Kluyveromyces lactis: one gene and its partners. The protein of the gene in region 1 binds, or shares a complex with, the protein of each later gene. Links are inferred from orthologs where the notes say so. Each region holds a gene or a part of one and is shown in the gene's direction. Other genes may lie near its edges. The genes, in order: PCF11, CLP1 and RNA15.

Region 1 (3,590 bases):
CAAACCCTTGAAGAATGCAGTGAAACCTTCGTTCTTCAAAGTGTTCTTGATAATTTTGAAACCACTCTCTGGGTTATCAAAGTTTCTATTTTGAATTCTGGTCTTGATAACATCCAATGGTGCACTGACAATTAATGAAGCAGAAGCACCAACAATCGAAGAGACGAAGTTCTGACTCCAAGTAGCTTGACCGTAATCCTTCAAACCCAAGATATATTCCTTGGCGAAGGCGTTACCACCGAATAAAGCGAAAGAACCTGGAGCGTTTCTGGCAGCGGTCCAACCCCAACCACGGTACAAACCAAACCCTTCATCCTTGATGATCTTTAGGAAACCTCTACCCTTGAAAGACTCTGGGTTAGTTTGTCTCTTGATCTTCAAGACATCCAATGGCAATAGCACAATTTCACCGATACCGATCAAAGAACCGGCAGTAGCAGATCTCAAGGCTTTACCGGTCTTTTCACCAAAAGCTTGATCGAAATCACCCTTGAAGTTCTTGTTCAAAAACTCATTGGCAAATGGTTGACCACCGTACTTGTAAACACGTTGCAAGATCTTATAGGCAGCAGCGTACCCCAAACCAGGGAACAAAGACAACAAACGTCTACCCAATGGTTCAGATGCAAAGTCACGGAAAATAACACTGTTCAATTGAGAGGTCGAGGCAATCTTGGTATGGTTTGACATCAATCTCTTGGAAATAGTGTCCACAGGATGGAAAACACCAATTTCCAAGATACCAGCAGAAGCTGAACCTAAGACACGGGCCAAACCCGATTGTTTCTTATCGTTGGTAGTCATCTTTTTTTCCAGCTCTTCTTAGTTCAAATGGATAAGAAATTAAAAGAAAGACCCTTTTCACCTAGTGAGATTCCTGCTTCTACTCTTAATAAACGTTGTTGAAAGTTTCGCACGAGAAAGAAAGGAGCCAGATGCACGTAAAGGCAAGATAGATAAAAACAGTGATGATTCATTCTTGAAAGAATCTTTGATCGATATCTCGAAAGGTTTTTTTTAAAAGAAAAAAGTGTGGTTTCGTTACCCGGATCTGGTGATGTTTTCGGTTTTTCTTTCAACCGAGCAAAACGTTACAAGATGCAGGATTAGGATAAGGAAACCTTTAAAGACGATGAGCAGAGGCAAGGAATAGAGGCCGTATGATTCATTATTTGAGCGCTTACTAGTATCCAGAGGCTTAGTTTGTGGTAATAGTAATTGTTTGCTATATTTTGGTACACTTTTTTCCGAGTTTTGTTGGGATTTCTCTATGAGTTCTGAAGATGGTTCTAATGCGTTAGAGGAGTTTAAGACCACTTTGGATGGTCTTACGTTTAACTCTCGGCCTATAATTACTACCTTGACGCAGTTAGCAGAGGAACATATGAGTTTAGCACAAGAGTTTGTGGGTTTGATTGAAAATAGACTGGAGAAATGTGTTCCTAGTCAGAAGCTTTTCACTTTCTATGTAATGGATTCTATCTGTAAGAACGCTGGTTCTCCGTATACGATCTATTTCTCTAAGAATTTGCATAAATTGTTCCGTAAAACTTATTTACTTGTGGATAATCAGACTAGAACCAAGATGATTTCAATGTTCAAAACGTGGATGGTGCCATTGCCTGCAGGAGACTTGATGTTCGATCATAGTTCTTTGAACAGCATCGAGAATTTTTTGATTAAGGCTAGTGCGTTGCATCAGAAAAGTGCTACTCCGCCGGCGATACAACAACATACCGCTCACAACGGACCGGCTGGGTCGAATATTACTGTGAAATCGTTACTGTCGGATATTGATAAATTAGCGCTGATTACGCAGTCGAAGCTAGTAAGTACACCGGATGACGCCAAGTTGCAGGCAAAAGTAGCGATATTGAAGCAGTTGAGACAAGAGTTGCAGAAGGAACGGTTGGCACCGGAGTTTTTGTCGCAAGTTCATCAGCAGCTCAAACAGATTTTTGCGCAAGAACATCAACAGCAACAACAACAACAGCAGCAGCAGCAGTTGCCATTACAAAATAACTCTCAGTTTCTGCCGCCATCATCTCAAGGTTCTGTAAACAATGATATGTCTCGTGGCTCACTCCAGGCGAACGGTAACAACGGCTCGATGTTCGGAGGAAGCCTTCAATTTAATGCTCCATTTTTGAACCAACTGACCAACTCTAACCGTCTCAATAAGCTTTCTAGTTTGGTTAACATGTTGAGAGAAAAAGAGCTCTTGCATGAACCTGGAGAAGCATCTATTACTACCTTAGCTGCCAAATTAGAACCTGAATTTGATTCCTCCAAGACAGTGCAACTACCGTCATATTCACTTTTACAGGATATTCTAGGTGATCTAGAGGCGCAACGCCAGACGCAAAACCTAGATATTTTGAACGCATCTGTCCTTCAGCTTTCTCAACAGTTTGTTCTTAATGATAACCATCCAATTACGGAAAAGTTGGTACATTTCTTATATCGGGCAAAACCTAATAAATGTAGTATATGTGGTAAGAGATTTGGTAATACTCTTGAAGAAAAGGAGTTGGAAATACAACATCTTGATTGGCATTTCCGTGTCAACAAGAAGATTAAAGGTATCCAGTCCAACACCACTACATCTACCAAGGTCATTCAATCCAGGAATTGGTATTTGGATGAAAATCAATGGGCAGACTTTAAAGAAGAAGACATCATTGCAACAGATATTGATACTGGAGCTGCTGAACAGCAACCTACATTTGCGAACAACAGGGAAGATTCTACTGATGCAATCTATACTAAACTCAGGAATAAATATATTGTAGTACCGGATTATGCCACAGATATGAAGTTCCAGTGTCCTATTTGTACCGAATCCACATATGGTAAATATGATGAAGATCTGGGAGAATGGATTTGGAGCAACTGCGTACAGGTGGGAGACAAATTCTTCCATGCCACTTGTTATTATGAGGCAGCTAAAAGTCAACAGTCAAACACCTCCTCATCTCCATCATTCCAAAATCTTCAATTAGATCTTGGTATTTTTAACGAGCTGCTTCAATGAGTTGATGAATAGCTAGTGCTGATCAATTGTATATTCGAACTCTAGTTGGCTTATCGGCATGAATTTCGTACCATTTTCTTCTACAAATTTCGTTCTAAATGGAAGTACGAATATAATATAGTGCTATATGGTATTTATATATATATATACTTCCTAAATGTTACAACTGCATTATAGAAAACATATGCTATTTCATTACGGCTATCTATTGCATAGAAGTGCTTTGGATTTTGTTTTTCTTCTTACGGGAATTCTTTATCTCGACACGCTTTAATTCGGATCACGTTCCTTCGACTCAGCTTGGTTCTTCAAAATAGCGGTAAGTTTCTTGCGTTCCTTCAGTAACCGAACGATGGTTTCTTTGAGTGCGACGGGATCCTCCCCGTTAGGCCGAGGTTTATCGACTTTCTGGGATTTTGACGAATATTCTTCGTAACGGTCCACTTTTTCTTTAGACTGACTCAACGCTGTTTCAAGATCCTTGACTTTAGCTGTCATGTCCGCTTTTTCATTAGCCATCTTTGCAATAGTTGACTCTAATCTCTTAATCCAGTGA
Region 2 (3,431 bases), on another chromosome or scaffold:
GATCAGTAGATTTTAAGAGTCACGTGAACTGTAAACATCAGTTCGCGTGGTAGTCTTTCCACTATCGTGTCAAAATTAGATCTTTGACCACAGCAAAAGTAAGGATAGGAAAGGGGAAGGAACTCACAGTTACGACGTAGAAGGAAATCAGAATTTTGCACGTTGTAGTCGCATTATTTGGCTTGCTAAATTTGATTGTTATTGCTCTACCCAATTGCGTTTCCCAGATCATTGAATTGTTTTTAAAACATCATGACACTTTACAAATTATTAACACCTAAAGCATTCGCAGAATTATTATCCAAGGAAACTAAGCGCCGTATTATCCCAGTAGATTCCACCTGGTATTTACCAAACTTGAACAGAAGTGGGAAGCAAGAATTTTTAGATGAAGAACGTCTAAAAGGAGCTGTTTATTTTGATATTGATGGTGTCAAAGACATGAAATCTGAATATCCTCATATGTTACCAGATCTCAGTACTTTCAATAAATCCATGAGTGAATTGGGACTGAAGAAGGATGATATTTTAGTGGTTTATGATAGAATTGGTAACTTTAGCGCACCTAGATGTGCATGGACATTAGCTGTTTTGGGACATGATCCCGTATATCTCTTGAACAATTTCCCTGCCCTGAAACTGTCTGGGTACCCCGTTGAGACTTCTAAAGTGACAAGTTTTACTCCATATGAAATGAGTGAATACGTGTCCGATGTTGATTTGGCAGAGAAAGAAACAGTTTCCTTTGAAGATATGCAGAAATTGGTGTCGACAGGTGATATTAAGAACTACCAGGTTTTGGACGCTAGAAGTCTTCAAAGATTTACTGGTGAGGCGCCAGAACCTAGACCGGGCCTCAGCTCTGGTCACATTCCTGGCGTTCAGCCATTGCCCTTCCTAGAGGTCTTGAACAGTGATAAAACTTTTACTTCAGATCGTGAGGAAATGCTAAAGAAAATACAAGACTTCGTCTCGCAAACCGGCAATGAGTTTGAAACCGATAAACCAACCATTGCAATGTGTGGTACTGGTGTCACAGGTGTCATAATCAAGACTGCATTAGAGATTTCAGGTGTCAAGAATGTCAGACTCTACGACGGGTCTTGGACCGAATGGGTGATGAAAGATGGAGAAGTGGCTAAAGGAAGTTAAGAGAAATACTTCGATAGAATGAGTGATTTCCCATACACTGAATGTAGGGAAGATGTGAAACATGCAGTACTACCTGAAAGAACAGTAGCTCTGCATCCCTGACACTTGAAAAGAACCCTGCGCAAATCAATAATTGCCCACAATTGGTTTATACTATATTTTCAGTATGTATGCTAGGAAAAATCTGTAATGATATATTGATCAAAATTAAAGTGTTTAAGTGTTAGAAAAGGTTTAATTAACATAGAACAAAAGGTAGATGAGCTGATAGCCCGACCATTACCACTCGCAGGAGAAGCTAGAAAAAAGGAAATGGAGTTTGTAGAATTCAGCGAGGTTTCTGAGACCACTAAGACATCGTCTCTTCCGCAGGGCCATGAATGGACCGTTCAAGTTCCAGCAGGATCAAAGCTAACAGTTATTGTGAAGTATGGGATCGCTGAGATACTGGGAACAGAGCTTGCCAACGATGTGCCCTACACATTCCAAGGTGTAATAGTGAACATCTATGCTATTGAACGATCTATGATCGAATGGAAGTGTTTAGAAGAGCTTGAGCCAAAAGTTTCGGAAAATAAGTCATATCATGCCTACATATACAATCTAAATTTTGCATTAGAAAGATTACGACTCTCTAGTTTCAATGGACCTAGAGTACTAATAGTAGGTAACGCCTCAACTGGAAAATCATCGCTAGCTCAAATGCTATGCTCATACGCGTTGAAGATTAGACATTATCAACCGTTGTTAGTGAACTTGAACCCACAAGATGGTGTTTTTTCTTTGCCAGGTTCAATTACAGCGACACCCATTTCTGAGTTGCTAGATGTTGAAAGTTCTATATGGGGTCAGAGTATTACTACAGGTGCTACCAAGCTCCATAACAAGCAACCTCTTGTTAAAAATTACGGCTTGGAAAATATCAGAGATAATAGACCACTATATTTATCGACGATTACACAACTAGCATCGGGCGTGCAACAGAGATTAAAGAACGATCCAATAGTAAGAAGGTCTGGCGTAATAATTGATACCCCTAAACTTTCACATCTTGACACCGAAGATTGGTCCGAAGTTGGCCACATGATAGAACAATTCGATATTAACGCAATAGTGGTATGTGCAGAAAGTGATGACTTAGCTATCGAATTGAGTGAAGTATTCAGGACTAAAATAGGATCAATTGTAAGAATTCCGCCACCAGGTTCAATTATCGCAATTGATGATATCATGAGAAGAGCTTTACAGAGGGTTCAAATAAGAGAGTACTTTTATGGTACCACAGAAACAGTCCTAAGTCCATACACTATGGGTGCTGGGTTTGAAGAATTAACAGTTTTCAGGCCAAGAAATATCTCTGAATATGGAGAGGATAAAAAGGATGTTGATCTAACAGTATTTGACAAAATTGAAGTCAACAGCTCAAACTTACAGCACGCTATTATCGCTATCACTAATATATCTAGAAAAGAAAGCCAAGATAAACTTAACACTGCATCGATAATCGGGTACGGTTTGATCACAGAAGTGAATGATTCAAAGAAAAAACTCAGGGTATTACTTCCAGTACCGAGTAGAATACCAGATAGAGCTATGATTCTCACCGAGTACAGATACTTGGAATGATTCTTACTTATAATTCTTTCATAGTCATTGTTTACATATTTATGAAAAATGTCAACAAAATCGGATACTTTATTTAATGATAGGATATACACAAATGCGAATAAGATACACCGAAAAGGAAACTAATATATAGAAGCATTAAGATTGCTGCTGAGGTTCATTATGACCGTCGAATTCCAAAAAATTAGGGTAGTAACTGGCTATGATCCGTATGATCTCAGCTGTGTGGCGTTACTCGTATTATATTGCCTAGGGGAAATAAACTTGTCCCTCCATAACATCACACGAATATTACAAATAGTTCCAAATGATGAACTGGATAGCGTTGGGCTTCCAACATTAGAGAATCTAGTTTTATATCTCCGAAAGAACGAGGATAGTCAAACTAAGGCTTCCTTTAAGTTGATCAATCTCATATTTTCTATCTCCAGTTTTAACCACATTCAAGAATTGATTCATCATTTAAGAGATGCAATAATAGTTTCTCCAGATCAACAAGGAGTCCTTTCGAAATTCAGGAGAATTTTATGTCGTTCAAGTGTGATTTGCGAACTTCTACCGCGTGTTATAATAGACTCCAATATCAGCGAATTCTTCGTTGAAGATATTCATCAAATAGTCGAATCTTTTCAGGCATTCAAAACTAGGTTTTT
Region 3 (2,709 bases), about 380 kb from region 1:
TCACTGCCATCATCATGCTGCTTTAGTGTATCATATGCCAAGGCTATCTTCGTAAAATTCAAAGTGAGAATTTCAACTACGAGAACTTCCATCTATTACCGCAATTCTCACATGTACAAAAAGTAGTAAGAGGTTCATCCGCAGATCTTGTTTGTAGTTGGTAGTATGATACTTTTCTTTGTTTACATTTGCCACATTGGAATCTATCTGTTACTGATCTTTCTACAGTTGCACCTTGTGCATTAAACAAATTCTGTTTCTCAATTTCCTCAATTTTCTTCTTTAAATGTTCCGGTGCCAAGTCCTTAGGATCAGCAGTCACTAAATGTTTGGCTGATACTTCTCCATTCGTAATTCTATGTTTCAAATCTGGATTGTTCTTGGAGATTATATTTGAGTAAATTATTCTGTATTTGTCACGATATCCCTTTTCGTCAGACTCGGGATTGAACAGATTAGCCATTTCTGTCTCAATACTCATTACTGTATCTAGGATAGCTACTGGAGGATGTTCACTTTCTTTTGCCAATGCATCATATAATGCCCTAATAGCCATATCTCTAATCTTGACACCATATATATCCGTTTTCACACCGTCGTTCTTAGCATTTCTTGGAGCTTTGCTGACATATTTCTCCTTCTTTACTGCTTCTCCACCGCTTGTACCATTATTGTTACTTGTAGATGAGGAATTGCTGCTTAGTTTGCTTTTCTTTTCACGAGCCACAGCATCTTTCCAGGATAAAATCATCTTCTTCACCAATTTGACGATGTCTGGATTGGAAGATTTCTTAAATTGGTTGACTACGACCCCTACTTTCGTCTCTCTAAGAAGCTTCTCATTAACATCTTTCAAATCTTTATCTAATGACTGTAGAATCTTGAACACAACATCATTATTATTTTTGTTCTTCTCTAATCCTTTGACGGCTTCTAAAACGTCCTTGGTTTCCATATCCGCAGAAGATATCTCAGTTTCTATCTATATTCCAGGATCAATTTCTTTCGAAGATGAAGAATGAATGTTAATAATACACAGCAAATATTGCTCTCAACAGATTCTAATGAGTTAGGACCTGCTGAAATCCACCATTTGGACAATGGACAGTGTTGATTGTTTGAAGTCATTAATTAGTTTTCAATTCTAATTTCATTTCATTCGAACATTGAAAAAAAAATTAGAATTGAAGTTGATGACGAAAGTTGAAGAATCGAACAATAAAGCCATATCTGAGTTTTATTACACTTATAAAGTACCGCTAAGAGCATCGAAGGACTTGTAAGACAGACTTCCACCAGACAGCTAGCTGTGAAAATAACCTGGTGCAACCAATTTCAATCATAGAAATAGTTAAAAAGCAATGAACAGGGGAAATCCATCGCGCACAGTTTATTTAGGTTCGATACCGTATGACCAAACAGAACAACAAATATTAGACCTATGTCAGACGATAGGACCAGTAACGGCAATGAAGATGATGTTTGACCCAACGACGGGTAAATCTAAGGGTTATGCTTTTATTGAATTCAAAGATTTGGCAACTTCGGCAAGTGCAGTTAGAAACTTGAACGGGTATACATTGGGTTCAAGATCGTTAAAGTGCGGATACACCACCGGTAGTGGCATAAACGGCAGCGGATCTGGCCCCGGAGATGAAGAGGAGAATGGAAACATGGTTGAGGATGTGAAGTTCCCATGGCTCCCGGTAGGGGTGGACGTTAACATCAATATGACTACACCAGCAATGTGTATCAGTAGTGAATTGGGGAAGCTACAAAAGGACCAACAGATGGCTCTACTAAAAGTAATCCAACATTTCTGTAAAGACGACAAGGAAACTTTCGTAGCACTCCTAGAAGAGGCACCTCAATTGAGCTATGCTATTGCGGAACTCCTGTTGAGTAACGGTGTGTGCAGTGTGGACCAATTGACACAATTGGCTATGGCGAGTAAACAAAGGCCAGAGGAACAGACTGATAACACAGTGGAAGACGGATTAGACGAAGAGAAAGTGGATCTTCTAAGGCAAGTTCTACAGCTACAGGATTCAGATATAGCAATGCTTCCGCAAGACGAAAAGATGGCAGTTTGGGAACTCAAACAGAGGGCAATGAAAGGTGAATTCGGTCATCTTTAATAGATCGTCTCATGGATGGAAAATCAAAAATAATGAACATGCGTCAACTATAAAGTTCATTAATGCTTATAGATGAAACGGTGTAGAATGTACAAATTGAATACGCACTTTCGGATGAAGTAAAGTTCAGTCTCTAAAATATACCTTCAATGAGCCAGAATGCGCTTGACGGTAAGACAGAAGTAGCAGTATAATTTTATGGAAATAATGAAGAGAAGGGTTAATAACCAAGCTTACTCCACGTATGCAGTATCTATTCAAATTAATTAACTCTGTAAAGTCACGTGTATCAGCTCCAAGAAAATGAAATTAACTAGCGTCTACCCTATTAACATTTGTGAAAACTTCAACCCAGAATGAGCTGAAAGACACTAAGGTGGAGGCTTTAACGGATAAGAAGAGTACTCATGTGTGGAAAGCAATAATCCGAGTCAAGTATAGCACAATTTTTTCAAGTTAATCGTCAATGATATCCATCTGATGATGATGCTGCTGCTGTAAAATGACAACTGCCGCAAACATCGTTTCTCTGCCACCAAGTTTGTGACAAATGAATAAGCTTTCTCAGCCT

Evidence for each region.
Region 2: the proteins of PCF11 (region 1) and CLP1 are in contact, whole or in part, in a crystal structure (PDB 4C0B), measured with the Saccharomyces cerevisiae proteins. The link is inferred for Kluyveromyces lactis from reciprocal best matches to the Saccharomyces cerevisiae genes PCF11 and CLP1. Residues at the interface, in NP_010514.3 of Saccharomyces cerevisiae: Asn460, Thr461, Gly462, Ile463, Ser464, Asn465, Ser466, Asn467, Leu468, Asn469, Ile477, Gln478, Ser479, Arg480, Asn481, Trp482, Tyr483, Leu484, Ser485, Asp486, Trp489, Ala490, Ala491, Phe492, Lys493, Asp494, Asp495, Ile497, Thr498, Thr500; in NP_014893.1 of Saccharomyces cerevisiae: Gln154, Leu156, Phe167, Thr168, Ala175, Pro177, Ser179, Gln191, Ser192, Leu193, Thr194, Ser195, Gly196, Ala197, Thr198, His201, Asn202, Gln204, Pro205, Met206, Val207, Lys208, Val232, Val233, Gln235, Arg236, Leu239, Asp240, Gln242, Arg330.
Region 3: PCF11 (region 1) and RNA15 share a complex: the UniProt entries of both Saccharomyces cerevisiae proteins name them as parts of the CFIA complex. The link is inferred for Kluyveromyces lactis from reciprocal best matches to the Saccharomyces cerevisiae genes PCF11 and RNA15.

The regions. Positions count from the first base shown.
Region 1 is NC_006042.1:1,243,860-1,247,449, reverse strand, and holds PCF11 (Pcf11p), read left to right. Parts: upstream 1-1,270; coding exon 1,271-3,034; downstream 3,035-3,590. Other genes in the region: GGC1 (Ggc1p), read right to left, coding at 1-804; KLLA0_F13420g (chromatin-silencing protein SIR4), read right to left, coding at 3,305-3,590. UniProt on the Saccharomyces cerevisiae protein: Component of the cleavage factor IA (CFIA) complex, which is involved in the endonucleolytic cleavage during polyadenylation-dependent pre-mRNA 3'-end formation and cooperates with cleavage factor NAB4/CFIB and the cleavage and polyadenylation factor (CPF) complex.
Region 2 is NC_006039.1:860,161-863,591, forward strand, and holds CLP1 (cleavage polyadenylation factor subunit CLP1), read left to right. Parts: upstream 1-1,464; coding exon 1,465-2,778; downstream 2,779-3,431. Other genes in the region: TUM1 (thiosulfate sulfurtransferase), read left to right, coding at 253-1,152; APC5 (anaphase promoting complex subunit 5), read left to right, coding at 2,941-3,431. UniProt on the Saccharomyces cerevisiae protein: Component of the cleavage factor IA (CF IA) complex, which is involved in the endonucleolytic cleavage during polyadenylation-dependent pre-mRNA 3'-end formation. Associates with HRB1/CF IB to form the cleavage factor I (CF I) complex.
Region 3 is NC_006042.1:864,349-867,057, forward strand, and holds RNA15 (Rna15p), read left to right. Parts: upstream 1-1,361; coding exon 1,362-2,138; downstream 2,139-2,709. Other genes in the region: transcription elongation factor DST1, read right to left, coding at 77-955. UniProt on the Saccharomyces cerevisiae protein: RNA-binding component of the cleavage factor IA (CFIA) complex, which is involved in the endonucleolytic cleavage during polyadenylation-dependent pre-mRNA 3'-end formation and cooperates with the cleavage factor NAB4/CFIB and the cleavage and polyadenylation factor (CPF) complex.